Linked DNA regions of Canis lupus familiaris. The protein of the gene in region 2 interacts with the protein of the main gene of each other region in a pairwise test. Links are inferred from orthologs where the notes say so. Each region holds a gene or a part of one and is shown on either strand. Other genes may lie near its edges.

The links.
Region 1: the proteins of KLC3 (region 2) and BICDL2 interact in binary tests that used the Homo sapiens proteins (3 or more experiments, as listed by UniProt). The two-hybrid records come from large-scale screens. The link is inferred for Canis lupus familiaris from reciprocal best matches to the Homo sapiens genes KLC3 and BICDL2.

The regions. Positions count from the first base shown.
Region 1 is NC_049227.1:38,602,350-38,608,568, reverse strand, and holds the end of BICDL2 (BICD family-like cargo adapter 2), read right to left. Parts: intron 5,735-6,219; coding exon 5,519-5,734; intron 5,387-5,518; coding exon 5,270-5,386; intron 5,194-5,269; coding exon 5,047-5,193; intron 4,228-5,046; coding exon 4,036-4,227; intron 3,936-4,035; coding exon 3,786-3,935; intron 3,404-3,785; coding exon 3,273-3,403; intron 3,130-3,272; coding exon 3,009-3,129; intron 2,912-3,008; coding exon 2,750-2,911; 3' UTR 2,446-2,749; downstream 1-2,445. Other genes in the region: THOC6 (THO complex subunit 6 homolog), read left to right, coding at 321-436, 545-609, 700-803, 888-925, 1,016-1,064, 1,174-1,245, 1,336-1,438, 1,526-1,575 and 4 more.
Region 2 is NC_049222.1:110,905,691-110,913,788, forward strand, and holds the start of KLC3 (kinesin light chain 3), read right to left. Parts: upstream 4,067-8,098; 5' UTR 4,024-4,066; coding exon 3,963-4,023; intron 1,453-3,962; coding exon 1,187-1,452; intron 700-1,186; coding exon 469-699; intron 172-468; coding exon 102-171; intron 1-101. UniProt on the Homo sapiens protein: Kinesin is a microtubule-associated force-producing protein that may play a role in organelle transport. Plays a role during spermiogenesis in the development of the sperm tail midpiece and in the normal function of spermatozoa.

The sequences.
Region 1 (6,219 bases), on a different chromosome or scaffold from region 2:
GAGACAGTTGTCTGCGAAGCTTTAGGTGCAGTAGCTCTGACACTTGTGACCAAGTCCCCTGGGAGCTCCATATGACCTTGAACCTTGGGGGCCAGCCTGGGCTCTTGCCAGGGTCCTGGTAGAAGTCTTGCCTCACCTGCCCACTTCCTCACCCTGTTCTTGGACCAACCCCTGGGCCATACGGGCAGGCACCCACTTGGTGGGGCACCTCAAAGGCCGGCTGTGAGATCTGGGCTGTGGGAGAGCCGAGCAGGCAGGAGGGAGTCAGAATCTCCAGTCCTAGATATCCCACGTGGCCCTCATCCAGTCTCTCCCCACAGATGGAAGTGTTTCAGGCTCTGCAGCGGCTCCACATGACCATTTTTTCCCAGAGTGTCTCCCCCTGCGGGAAGTTCCTGGCAGCTGGCAACAATTACGGGCAGATAGCCATCTTCAGGTACCCTCACCCCTGCTTCACCACACAGTAGTAGTTCTAGCACTTGTACTCTCTGGGACTGGCGCCCTCGGCTTCTGACTCTCAGGCTCCCCTCCCCTATTCCTTCAGCTTGTCTGCTGCTCTGAGTTCTGAGGCCAAAGAAGAAAGTAAGAAGCCAGTGGTGACATTCCAAGGTGGGTGCTGCCATTGTGTCTGGCTTAGAGAACCCCCAGGTAGGGGAGGGCAGCAGGACAGGGTCACTCAGGGTCTTCATTTCCATCTAGCCCATGATGGACCGGTCTACAGCATGGTCTCCACAGATCGACATCTGCTCAGTGCTGGGGATGGGGAAGTGAAGGCCTGGCTTTGGGCAGAGATCCTCAAGAAGGTAAGGAGTGTGGAATTGGGGGATGGGCTGGGGTGCCTGGTCCCAGAGAGCCTCTGACCTCATGTAGCATTTCCCTCCACCAAGGGTTGTAAGGAGCTGTGGCGGCGTCAGCCCCCATACAGGTGAGTGAGAGCCATGTGGGTAATGGGTAGAAGGTACTTGGGGGTGAAGGGACTGCCTCACCAGAGCTCACCTCGTTTTCTCTCTCCCAGGACCAGCCTAGAAGTGCCTGAGATCAATGCTTTGCTTCTCGTCCCCAAGGTCTGAGCCCTTTGTACCGGGGCTCTGCCCTGCCCAAACTTAAAGCCTTTTTCCTCTCCCTGTCCTGATTTGATGCTGACTTGCGATTCCACCCTTCCCTCTTCTGCAGGAGAATTCTCTCATCCTGGCAGGGGGAGACTGTCAGTTGCATACAATGGACCTTGAGACTGGGACCTTCACAGTGAGAAGGCCATGGAGCTGGGGTGGTCAGGGCTGGATGGTCGTAGGGTCATTCTTCCTGGATCTCCTGACACTGGGCTTCCTCTTGCAGCGGGCCCTCCGGGGCCACACAGACTATGTCCACTGCCTGGCGCTGCGGGAGCGGAGTCCCGAGGTGCTGTCAGGTGGAGAGGATGGAGCTGTGCGACTTTGGGGTAGGTTAGCGTAGTGTCCGGTTGGAGGGAAACATGGCAACGGAGACTGGGGTGAGCAGGATGCTTCTCATGGTTCTTCCCGCACAGACCTCCGCACAGCCAAGGAAGTCCAGACCATCGAGGTATATAAGCATGAGGTGAGGGCACGTACCAGGCCCCGTCCTCCCTTTCACCGCCCTGGGCATCCCCTGTGTCTTCATCTCCTCCTCTCTTCTCCTCCTCACCCCTAGGAGTGCTCGAGGCCACACAATGGGCGTTGGATCAGCTGTTTGGCAACTGACTCAGACTGGATGGTAAGCGGGGCAAGGTGCAGAATGGGTGACCACTCCGGGCCCTGCCAACTGAGGGACTATGCTCACAGTGGTTGGGGCCCCCCACCTTTCTGCCCAGGTCTGCGGAGGAGGCCCAGCGCTCACCCTCTGGCACCTCCGATCCTCCACACCCACGACTATTTTCCCCATACGGGTGCCACAGAAACATGTTACCTTCTACCAGGACCTGGTGAGGCCCTCTGTCTTGCTTCTGCCACCTTTGCCCAGTATCCCTCTCCAATCCTGACTCCCGACTCCCTCCCTGCCCTCCAGATTCTGTCAGCTGGCCAGGGCCGCTGTGTCAACCAGTGGCAGCTGAGTGGGGAGCTCAAGGCGCAGGTGCCTGGCTCCTCCCCAGGGCTGCTTAGCCTTAGTCTCAACCAGCAGCCAGCAGCACCCGAGTGCAAGGTGGGTCCTGCAAGGGGCTGTGGGGGTCCATGGGGGGGGGTAGGGCACGTGTGTGTGGACATGCCAGCCACTGCCCTCCTGCTTCCAGGTCCTGACAGCCGCAGGTAACAGCTCCCGAGTGGATGTTTTCACCAATCTCGGCTACCGCGCCTTCTCCCTGTCCTTCTGACCTCTGGCAACACCCCTTCCATCATCCCAGGGATTTAGATTGCTTTTTTTTATTTTATTAAATAAGTAAATTTTTAGGCTATTGTTCCATGCATGTTCTTCTCAAGAATGGAGGCTGAGTTGGTGTCATGATTTTTATATATTACTCTGTTTGATCTTGATACATAAATACCCACCCTCATCCCTGCCCTGCAGCGCGCCAGGCCCTTAGAAAATATAGACCTATAGAGATTCAAAACTCAGCTCTGCCTCACCTGCCCCGCCACCTACCTGGGGCCCTTGGCCCCCAAAGCTGGTCCCTGCTCCCAACGAGCCTTTGCCCAGCTTCCCGGGGTGGGGAGGGCACCAGGCCCCTCTGGAAGACGCTCAGGACCATTAGAGGAAAGGAAGCCAGAAGGCACCGGCGGCCCCCATGGCCCGGCCTTCAGGTCCTTCGGAAGAGGTTGCTTAGGAAGCCGCCGGCGGGCCCAGGACCCAGGCGCAGCGAGAAGCGCGGGGCGGCGCGGCGCGGGACGGCTCCCGCCGCACTTAGCTCCTTCTGTCGTTGGGAGCGCAGCTGCTGGCCGATCACCACCTGCATGTCGTCCTGCGGGCGGGCGGCTCAGTCGGTCCGCGTGGCCACGTGTCGGCCACGCCTCCCAGACGCCGGCCCCGGCCCCGCCCCCGCCGGCCCCGCCCCTCACCTGCCAGGCCTCCAGCTCTTGCGTCAGCGCCACCTTCTGGCGGATAGTGCGAAGCAGCTCCCGGGAGAGCGAGTCCCGCTCCAGAGAGACGCGGCCGAGCTCCAGGGACAGTTCCAGCGCCCTGCGGGCAAGAGGGGCAGAGAGTGGGCCCGGGGGTGGCGGGAGCTGCCGGACCCGGACGGGAGCGGTGCGGCTAACACCGAAAACAGGGTCGGAGGGCCGCTGGTGGGTGCGGAGGCCGGGGTGGACGGTGGAGAGGCTCACTTGTTCACAGCTTCGTCCCGGTCCGAGAGGGCGCCGCTGAGGGCCTCGTCGGGGTCGCCATGCGTCCGCAGCTCCTTCTGCCTTTGCAGCTCCTCCCGCAGAGACTGTAGCTCTGCCCGCTGCAGCGCGACCTGTGGGCAGGGAAAGGTGAGGAGGGGCAGCCAGGCCCTCCGCCAGCCCCACAGACCCTCCCCGCAGCCGCAGCCTGTGCTGGAGACCAAGCTGAGCCCCCGGGCTGGCGCAGGGTGAGGTGGGGCAGGGTCGGTTGGGTGGTGTAAGTCTGCAGAAAGGATGCTGGTGGAAGCACTAGGAGGTGGGACCAAGGAGGGGAATGTGGTCCAGGAAGTCTTCCTGGAAGAGGTGGCGTACGGCCAGCTCTTGAAGCATGACTACAGGTTTGTTGGGATGAAGATAGATCCAGGTAGAGGGGCGCAGGCTCAGAGGTGTAGATGGGCAAGAGAAACTGGCGTTGGAATGGGCTCCGCGTCCAGCGCTATGCTCCCACTCCCACACCTCATCCTGAAGCCCGGCCACTTCGGCCTCCTTCTCCTCTAGTATATCCCCTGGCCTCAGGGATGCTCGCTTCTTGGGAGGCTCCAAGCTCTCCTCTTGGGGCGAAGGCTGGTGGCTGAACGCTTCTTGGATCTCGGGGGACGGAGTGTTCTGTTGACCAAAGGGATGGGTCAGCGAGGTGTCGGACCTCCTGCGCGAAGGGGGCGCGGCGGAGTCTGCAGGGCACGGGGGCCGGGGGGCGCCAGCTCACCGGGGCAGCTCCGCGGGCGTCAGCCTTCGGGTCCTGGCCGCTGTCGAGGCTGTGAGCCAGCTCCGACTGCAGTGAGGCTCCCGACAAGTCGGCGTCCCGAAGGCGCGACTCCTCCTCCAGCTCCGAGACGCGCCTCTGCAGCCCCCGCAGCGCTCTCAACGCCTCCCCCGCCTCGCAGCGCGCGCGCTCCAGCTGCGGAGGGACAGACAGGCGGACAGGAGCATGCGCAGTCCGCCCCGTGCGCCCGGCGGCCTCATCCCGCCTCGACCTGCTGGGGGCGCCGGCGCGCCACCGAGAGCCGGGCAGCCCGCGCGCCGTGGCGCCCCAGCAGCTGGCTCCTCTCTGGACGGCCGACGGCCGGCGGCCTTGGGCGCGCAGTTGCCCCTGGCGGATACCAATTTCCTCATCTATAAAGTAGGGTGCGGACAGGTGCCCTCGCTTTAAATTTTCCCATCACCCTCCCTCCAGCCCCGCCCCATCAGGTCACCTGGCAGAGTCCCTCCCCTTCCCCCGACCTGTTGGCCCAAATCGTTAATGGGTCATCCAGCGCCCTACTCGTGTCTCACCCTCACCGCGGCGCTCTACCATTCCCATCCCATCTCGCAGACAAGGAAACTGAGGCTGGGCGTCCCACAATAGTAAGAAGGGGTGTTGGGATAAGAGCCCATATTATTTGACCACAAAGACCTCGAACATCGGCCCATGCTGCCTCTTGTCATTTCCTTTTGCTCATCTCCACTGCCCCAGACCTAGTCCAAGTCCCGGTCATCTCTGGCCCCAGCCTCCGCCCTGGCCTCCCAAGTGCCAGGCTCTGATGCCCTCTAAAAGCATACCACCCCTGCTCAATACCCTTCTGAGGCTCCCACTTGCCCTTTGGCTAATGCCCAGGCTCTCCTGGCCCAGCTTCTGGGGCTCCCAGTGATCCAGCTTGGCCTCATCTCCCAGGAAGCCCTGAGGCAGTGGTCAATGCCCTGGTCAGATGCACCCACCCCGCCCAGCCCCACTGGTCACCTCCAGGCTATGCTCTCGCTTCTCGCGCCTCAGCAGCAGCAGCTCTTCATGGGTTGCCTGTAGCCTGCCCTGGCCCTTCTCCACCTCCTCGCGCAGGTCCCGGATCTGGGCCTCCAGGTCCTGCCGGCGGCTCTGCAGCATCTGGTTCTGGGGAAAGACCTCAGGGCTGGAGGGGAAGTGCTGGGCCAGCCCCAGACGGCCCCCAGCCCCAGCTGGGACTCACCTCCCCTTGCAGACTCTCCAGCCGCATCCTCAGCTCTGCTCCTGCCAGGACCTGAGCCTGGCACTGCCCCCGAAGGCCATCCAGTTCCCTCTGAAGTTCCTGCTCAGTCTGGGAGGCCTGTAGAGGGGAAGGCGGGGGAGGCCTCGCTGGTCCAAGCCTTACCACCAAGCCCAGTGCACCCACCCCCACACGGGGACACAGCCATCTGCCCTGGTCCTGCCTGGGGATGTGGGGTCAGCATGCTCCCACCTGGGCGAGCTGCTGGCTGAGCCGGAGGTTCTGCTCGCTGAGTTCAGTGAGGGCCCGTGCCCGCTCACGCCCGCTGTCCTGCTGCTCTGAACGCTGCTCCCCGAGCTGGGCCCGCAGGGCCTCCACGTCCCCCTCCAGCTCCACCGCTCTGGCCTCCCACTCGGCTCCCCGGGCTGCCAGGCCCTGGCGGAGCTCATGGTTCTCCTGCTGCAGCCGCTGTGGGGCCGCAACACAGAGTCAGGGACAGGGAGGTGAGGCAGTAAGCACGCGGACCCAGAGGGCGTCCGAGCGGGCCGAGACACGCAGACACGCCATGCAGGGAAGCCAGCTGGAGGAGCAGGCAGGGAGCCTAAGGCAGAGTCTCGGGGAGGTGGGTTTCCAGGTCAGGAGGAGCTGACCGGGACCGGAGTGGAGCGGGGCTCCCCGATGCCCACTCACCTCTGGCTGCTGCCTGGGCTTCTGGAGCCGAGATCGCAGGCGCCGTTTTTGGCGTCTGAGTCTGGCAGAATGGAAGCCCCGGCCCATGGCCTCGCACACCGATGCTCCAGGGGCTCTGGAGGTTCAGCCTCTGCTCAGCCCCTCACCCCCAGCGCCTCTTGGCCAGCTCCCTCTAATTAACCCTGGCCAGCCCCGCCTGGGCTCCGTGCCTCTGCATGCCCTCTCCAAAACCTGTCCAACCAGCAGGGGGACGCTCTTGGCAC
Region 2 (8,098 bases):
CCTGCCCTGACATCCACCTTGGGTCTCCGTCCCTCCCCGGCCTCAGCCTCTTATCCTCCGTGGCCGAGTGGCCCAACAATTGCGTGCTCCCCCACACCCACCTTTCCTCTCTTCCTCCTCGCTGGAGAACAGGGGGGTTAGGCTGTCTCGTCGAGGAGGGGATTCAGGCCGCTGCAGAGGGCAGGAAAGTGAGGAGTCAAAGAGGGCTGGGAGTTTGCTTTAGAGACCAGGGTCCTGGACCTCCGAGTTTGAGGGGGGTTTCTGAGGGCTTGGGGAAGATCTGGGGATTTTGTGGAAGCTGGGAGGGCTTCTGTGGAAATTTTACTGAGTCTGGGGGTTGTGGAACCCTGTCGAAGGTCTAGGGCTTCTTTGGAGGGTCTAGGGCACTGGGGGCTCCATGGAGTGGTACAGGTCTGTGGGGGATCTAAGGAGGATGGGGGCCCCCTGGCTTGCCCAGCCCTGCAGCACCTGGCTCTCGGCAGGGGGGTCATACTGGCGCAGCTGCCCCAGGAACTCCAGGTGGCTCTTCTCCTCCTCCAGTTGGGCCACGGCCTCCTCGCTGGCCCGGAGGCGCCGCTGCGTCTCCTCCAGCTCCTCCCGCAGCCACGAGTTCTCCTGGGCCAGCCGCCGGGCCTGCGCTCGCAGCCGCTGCTTCTCCGCCTCCAGGGAGCCCACGTGCGCGGACAGGGCCAGCAGCACCTGCAGGGGGCCGGGGATCAGGGGCCCAGTCCCTCTCCTACCAGGCAGTCCCTGGCCCAACCCAGGGCCTCATGTCATGCCAGAGCACCCCAACTCTTGGCCCTTCCAAGTGACTCTGAGGATGTGCAGAAACTCCCAAGGGCACACCCAAACCCCACCCAGGGACCCTTCTGATTTCATTCAGGCACACAAATCACGTGTAGGGCCACTTCATATCCTACCCATGTGACCCCAACATCTCCCTAGAATCTACAGTTCTATAGATGGATGCCATTGGTTCAGGGGCTCCTGTCACACAAAAGGACCCCCTAATGCCACCCAGGGATCCCATTTCCAGCCTAGAACCCCTCCTCCCCAGGCCTGGCTCCCCTAGGCCTCCCCTGCTCCAGGCTCATCACCCCCTACATACTTGCCTCCCTCATCCCGGGCCTCCTCCCAGCTCTGAGCCTCCCCCCCCATGGCTGGATAGCTGCTCCCCCCCCCATACCTGGGCCTCGCCCAGTCCCAGCTCGATGGCCTCCAGCGCGTGGCTCACCACCTGCTGCTTTTCTTCCAGCAGTTCCAAGCCAGCCACCAGGCCCTGTCCTGCCAGCGCCTCCGCCAGGTGCCTGGCCAGGCCATGGTGCTCTGCTCGCAGGGCCTCCAACCCCTGCACCACTTGTCGCGTCTGCCGCACCAGCTCCTCGGGGCTCAGGCGCTCCGGGCCCAGCCCCACACTTCCAGGGGCTGCCACCTGCACGGACATTGCTGTTCCTGGGGTGGGTAGCAGGGATTGGGGGGTCAGGGCCAGGCAAGCAGGCCCATCAGTCCCTCCTCACCCTGGCCGGCTCCCTGTCCCGCACCCATCCCAGCCAGCTGGCAACTGGAAACATTCTAGTCTAGCTTTGCCTGTCCTCAGCCATGGGCCCTGCCCTGAGGGCCACTCAAAATCTGGGGCAACCAGTGGTCTCGTGGCCTCTCACCTGCCCTCAGCTCACCTGGCCAGCCCTGTCTATCCCAAGGGCCCCAGATACCTGGCCCCAGGACTCCCCGTGTGACCTGGACTGGAGGCACACGCCTCTGCTGGGTGTGTGGGGCGGGGCATGTGGAGGCGGCCTCTCCGTGAGCTCATTCTTAGGGTGTTTTTGTTGGGAACCAGTCGGACCACTGGGGCTGGAGGGGTGGGGCCGGAGGAGAGGGCCAAGGGGCTGGGGCACTGGAAGCAGAGGAGCCCTCTAGATTTAGGGGGATGGGGGGGTGCCTGTGTGTCAGCTCCCAGGGCCTGATGGATCCCAAGGGAACAAGGACTCCACCCTCCACTGCAGACAGGCTCCGCCAGCCCAAGGCATGTTGGGACACACGTGTGACAGGCACGGCCCATGGATGTCACACTAGCCCTGTGACAGCTCAGAGTCTGAGGCCTAGATGCTAATGGGTGGGGGTCTCATGTGTGGCACTTTATGTGGTTGTATGTAGGTGACAAAGTCAATGACACAGCTGCTGGAGCCTCTGTAGCCTCTGTATTCACACACAAGCACACTCACTCCCCTCCCAGAAACAGACCCCAACACACGCACACCCTCCCTTCTTAAATACACAATGCGACACACACGTTCTCCTCCTCTCAGAAACTGAATACCTGCTCTTTCTTTTTTCAAATGCAGTGCAATATATACGTACTTTCTCAGAAACACACCTGCTCGTACACACACACACTCCCCTCTACAAGAAGACGGCTCAACATGCACACTCCTTTCTTTCTTAAAAACATAATATACATTTTCTCTGAAGCAAGACATACAGGACACTCTCTTTCTCCTCTAAAAAATAAAAATACAATCCTACACATCCACATTTTCCTTTCAAAAAACCTAATCCAAGGGTGCCTGGGTGGCTCAGTTAAGCGCCTGCCTTCAGCTCAAGTATGATCCAGGGGTTCCAGAATTGGGTCCCACAATAGGCTTCTCCCTCTCCCTCTGCTCTTCCCCTGGCTCATTCTCTCTCTCAAATAAAATCTTAAAAAAAAAAAAAAAAAACGCAACACACTTACTCAGGCTCGTGCACGCACACCCACATACTCTTTCAGAAACAACACATGTATGCTCTCCCCTCTTGGAAATATAATCCCACACACTGGTGTATTTTCCTCTTGGGAAAAAAAGCCAACACACACAGAAACTCTGTCCCCCCTCACTAGTGAAAAGATAACCAAATCCCAAATCACTCACATTCAGGCTATCTCTTTGCAGTTACCCCCATGACACACCTTTCCCGCACTTATAAGGTCCTGCAAGCAGCTAGCTCTCCATTACATGCCCATCACCTCCTCCAGGCACGCATGCGCGCGCGCGCGCACACACACACACACACACACACACACACACACACACACTCTTGGGATTCACTGTGGACCTATCATCTCCTTCCCCACTTCCCCCAACACCTTGCCCGGCCAGCCAGAGATTCACGCACCTGCACACAGCATACACACAGATACACAGAGCTTCAAACACGGACATACAGACAATTCCTGAACTCAGATTCAGTTGTGGAGACACAGAGAGGTGTTTGCATAGACCCTCTCGGGCATGTGCCTCACTCAAGCCACCAGGGCGCCGTAAGCAGCCTAGTGGTTTGGGTACCTACTTACCTGCTCACGAACATCATACACCAAGACACACAGGAAGGCAGGCACATAATCCACGGATTTTCTACACTGCAGGCTCTCCCCTGCCATCAATCTCTACATATACGTGTGTGCAGACACCAGTCTCTCTCACTATACGTATATATGTGTGTACATGTCTCACCATACTCCGTGTCACACACAAGCCCCACAAAGTTACGATCACACGTTCATGGAGTCATTCAGACAGCTCCATTATTCCCATGATTTTTGCCCACACTCAGTCCCGTGAACAACAAACTCCCTTTCACACACGTACAACCGCACAGCTGACAGTGTTAATCCCAGGCACACCCTCCCCGTCCATGCGGGTCCCACATCGCCCACCTCCCTGCGGCTCCCCGCGCCTTAACAGGCAGAAAGACCGCCCCAGCCACGCAAGCTCTGAGTCACGCACCTAATCCTATAAACAGAGCAACTCCCTCCCATACACACGGCCCCCACCCCCATCATTAGACGCACAGAGGTCCGCCCACGTGTTGCATCTGAGACAGCTCCACGTCGTTCCCACAGTCCCTGGGCGCCCGCACACGGTTACACGGACCATCCCTGTCCCTTCCTCGCCCGCACCCACCGCCGGAGCCCGTCGCGCACACACCTGAGCTTCGTACACCATCACACACACCTGAGCCTCGCACACCGCCTCTCATACGCCCCATCTCCACGCCCGCACCTGCAGGCCAGCCCCCTAAACCGCACACCTTACCGCGGCCGGCCTGGCCCAGCCCCGCGCACCCCGGCTTCCCCACCCCCGCCGTCACAAGGGCCCCCGCCCTCCTCCCCCCAGGCCCCGCCCCGTCTTCGCTCCTGTTTACCTGCGCACCGGGGAGGGGGCGCGGCCCCAGCTGGGCCTCGGGACCCGGGAGGGGGGGCCCCAGGGCGGGGCAGGAGGGCCCAGGGGGCCCAGGAGCCCCAAGGCCCGTCCCCGTCGCCAGGCCAGCGGGCCCCAGGGTGCGCGGGGCCCAGCCCTCACCCTCCGCCCCCATCCTCGCGGTCCCCGGGACTCCCCCGCCCAGCACTCGAGGGGCCCACCTGAGCGCCGGCGGCTCCGGGACCCGCTCCGCCGAGATGCGCCGGGCCGCGTCCCGCACACCGCGCACGCCCGGCGGCTCCCAGCTGCGCCCTGGGTCTCGGGCCGCGGGCGGCTCCTCCGAGGGGCGGGGCGGGCGGAAGCCCCGCCCCCGCAGGTGAGCCCGCCCCGCCCCCCGCCGCTCCCGCGGAGCCCAGCCCGCCCGCCGCGGGGGAAGCGCCAGCGCAGCAGCGGACCCGCGAAGCCCTCCGCGTGCCTGTCGGGCCCGTCGAATCTGAGCGCGAGCCCAGCGCGCTGGAGGCTGCCAAGCCGGGGTGCAGCGCAGCTCGACCCTTGGAAACTAGGGATCCCAGGCCGAGGGCTTTCTAGCAGCGCCCGCCGCCCGGCCTTGCCTTCGGCTGTGCCCGCTGCCTGGGCCCCCCCTATTCCCACAGACGCCATTCGTTAGTCTGGTAGCTTCACAAAGGCCGCTTCCTCCGAGAGGCCTTCCCTACTGGCCCTTTTTTCTTTAAAAAAAAAAACTATTGGAGTTCAATTTGCCAGCATATAGCATAACACCCAGTGCTCATCCCATCAAGTGCCCCCCTCAGTGCCCGTCACCCAGTCACCCCCACCCCCACCCACCTCCCCTTCCACTACCCCTTGTTCGTTTCCCAGAGTTAGGAGTCTCTCATGTTCTGTCCCCCTCTCTGATATTTCCCACTCATTTTTTCTCCTTTCCCCTTTATTACCTTTCACTATTTTTTATATTCCCCAAATGAATGAGACCATATAATGTTTGTCCTTCTCCGATTGACTTATTTCACTCAGCATAATACCCTCCAGTTCCATCCACGTCGAAGCAGATGGTGGGTATTTGTCATTTCTAATGGCTGAGGAATATTCCATTGTATAGTAAACCACATCTTCTTTATCCATTCATCTTTCGATGGACACCGAGGCTCCTTCTACAGTGTGGCTATTGTGGACATTGCTGCTAGAAACATCGGGGTGCAGGTGTCCCGGCGTTTCATTGCATCTGTATCTTTGGGGTAAATCCCCAGCAGTGCAATTGCTGGGTGGTAGGGCAGGTCTATTTTTAACTCTTTGAGGAACCTCCACACAGTTTTCCACAATGGCTGCACCAGTTCACATTCCCACCAACAGTGCAAGAGGGTTCCCTTTTCTCTGCATCCTCTCCAACATTTGTGGTTTCCTGCCTTGTTAATTTTCCCCATTCTCACTGGTGTGAGGTGGTATCTCATTGTGGTTTTGATTTGTATTTCCCCGATGGCCAGTGATGCGGAACATTTTCTCATGTGCGTGTTGGCCATGTCTATGTCTTCCTCTGTGAGATTTCTCTTCGTGTCTTTTGCCCATTTCATTTTTGGATTGTTTGTTTCTTTGCTGTTGAGTTTAATAAGTTCTTATAGATCTTGGATACTAGCCCTTTATCTGATAGGTCATTTGCAAATATCTTCTCCCATTCTGTAGGTTGTCTTTTAGTTTTGTTGACTGTATCCTTTGCTGTGCAAAAGCTTCTTATCTTGATGAAGTCCCAATAGTTCATTTTTGCTTTTGTTTCTCTTGCCTTCATGAATGTATCTTGCAAGAAGTTACTGTGGCCAAGTTCAAAAAGGTGTTGCCTGTGTTCTCCTCTAGGATTTTGATGGAATCTTGTCTCACATTTAGATCTTTCATCCATTTTGAGTTTATCTTTGTGTATGATGTAAGAGAATCGTCCAGTTTCATTCTTCTGCATGTGGATGTCCAATTTTCCCAGCACCATTTATTGAAGAGACTGTTCCAGTGGATAGTCTTTCCTCCTTTGTTGAATATTAGTTGCCCTTTCTAATGACACTGTCTCACCAAAACACTACTCCATTTCCCTGCTTCATCTCTTTTTTAAGGATTTAGTTATTTGACAGACAGAGAGAGCACAAGCAGGGGAGCGTCAGGCAGAGGGAGAGGGAGAAGCAGGCTCCCTCCCCACTTAGCAGGGAGCCAGACTCGATACCAGGACCCTGAGATCACGATTTGAGCCAAAGGCAGATGCTTAACCAGCTGAGTCACACAGGTGTCCCTCCCCTGCCTGCTGTTTACAAAACTTCTCAGGACCTAAGATTATTTTATGTAACTTGGTCATACGATATTTCATTCCATAATATATTAGCGAGGTAATTGCAAGGACTAGAAATTGGGCTCTGGGTTCGAAGTTGATTTTCAGCATTTGGTAGTGAAGGCCTTGGGCAAGTAACTTAACCTCTGTGTGTGTCAATTCTCTGAATCTGTGAAATGGGGATAAAGGCTGCGAAGACTGAATGAGGTACTGTATGGACAGGGCTCTGTATGGTCAGCACTGCATCACTAGCGCTAGAATAGAGTCCGGTGCAAAGTGCTTGCTCACTGAGTAGTTGAATGAATCAAGTCTTAGAAACTTAAATCGGCCAAAGCTGGGCGCACAGGAATCTCAGATCTCAGATCATAGAATTTGGTTCAACGCCAAACTTTTCCAAACCCTTGCAGTACCTCGACCGCTCCCTTCAGGATGCTTCCAGCAGAGGGCGCTGCTGGTCCGTGATCCCGGCCTCAGGCTGCCGCGCAGACCCGCCTCTTCCCTCAGAGCCAAGGCCCACCTGCCCTCTGCTCCCTTGTTCTCTGAGCTCCAGTGCAGCTGTTCCCTCCTCCAGGAAGCCCTCTCCGCCCCCACAGGGGCCTGGCAGCCGCCCGGGCTCCCCCACGTTTCAGCCCTGCCCACTCTGGGTCATCGCTGTCTTGAGGACAGGTCTGTCTCCCACGTTGGAATGTAAGTCCCAGGAGGGGACGGTCTCAGGCACCACTGTGTCCCCAGTGCTCCCCAGCACAGACTGAACACAGAGAAGGCACTTGGGCGAATAGCTGTTGATTGAATAATAGCAAATACAACTCAAGCTCCTGCTCTAACATCCCCGGGGGGTTTCTAGGGAACAGGGTAGAAGGAGGCAGACAAACCCTACCCTCCTCCCCACACTGGGCCGGCCTCAAGGTGCTGGGCACCAGTTCTGGATCTGCCACATGCTTAGGAAGAGGCAGGGCAGGGGCACATCCCAGCTCCACCGTGTGCTGGCTGTGTGACCCCGAGCCAAGAATGAACTTCTCTGGGCCTCAGGCTCCTGGTCTGTAGAATGGGACTCACAGGTAACCTACTTTGTGAGGCTGTTGTGGGGATTAGTGAGTAATCCCTGTAAAAGGCTCAGAACAGAGTAGCACGTGGTTAACACTGTGGGGGAGGCAGTTGGAGCCTGGCAGGTCTGAGTTCAAATTCTGATCTTGCCATTTCCTTTCCATGTAACCTGGGGCAAACAATGTTTCTGAGCACCTATATCCTCCTCTATAAACCCTGAATGATCATGCTCCCCACACAGCATAGCAGTTAGGATTAAATAGGATCAAGGCTGAAAGGAGAAAGTGTCAACTGAGGTAACTGTCTGTTTCTTTCAGCTGGCCCCGTGCCAAGCACTTTTGCACAACACCAACGAGGGCTGGGGTTTCTGAGTTCTTACCCAGGGTAGGCCCGAGGCCAAATCTTGTAAGTAAATTAGCTCTGTGAATGTACACCAACCTGATAGGGTAGGTGCCGCGATTATCCCCATTCTACAGGTGAAGAAGATGAGGCACAGAGAGGCCAAATGACTTGTCCAAGATCACACAGCCAAGGATTAGCAGAGCCCCTGAATCCAGACAGC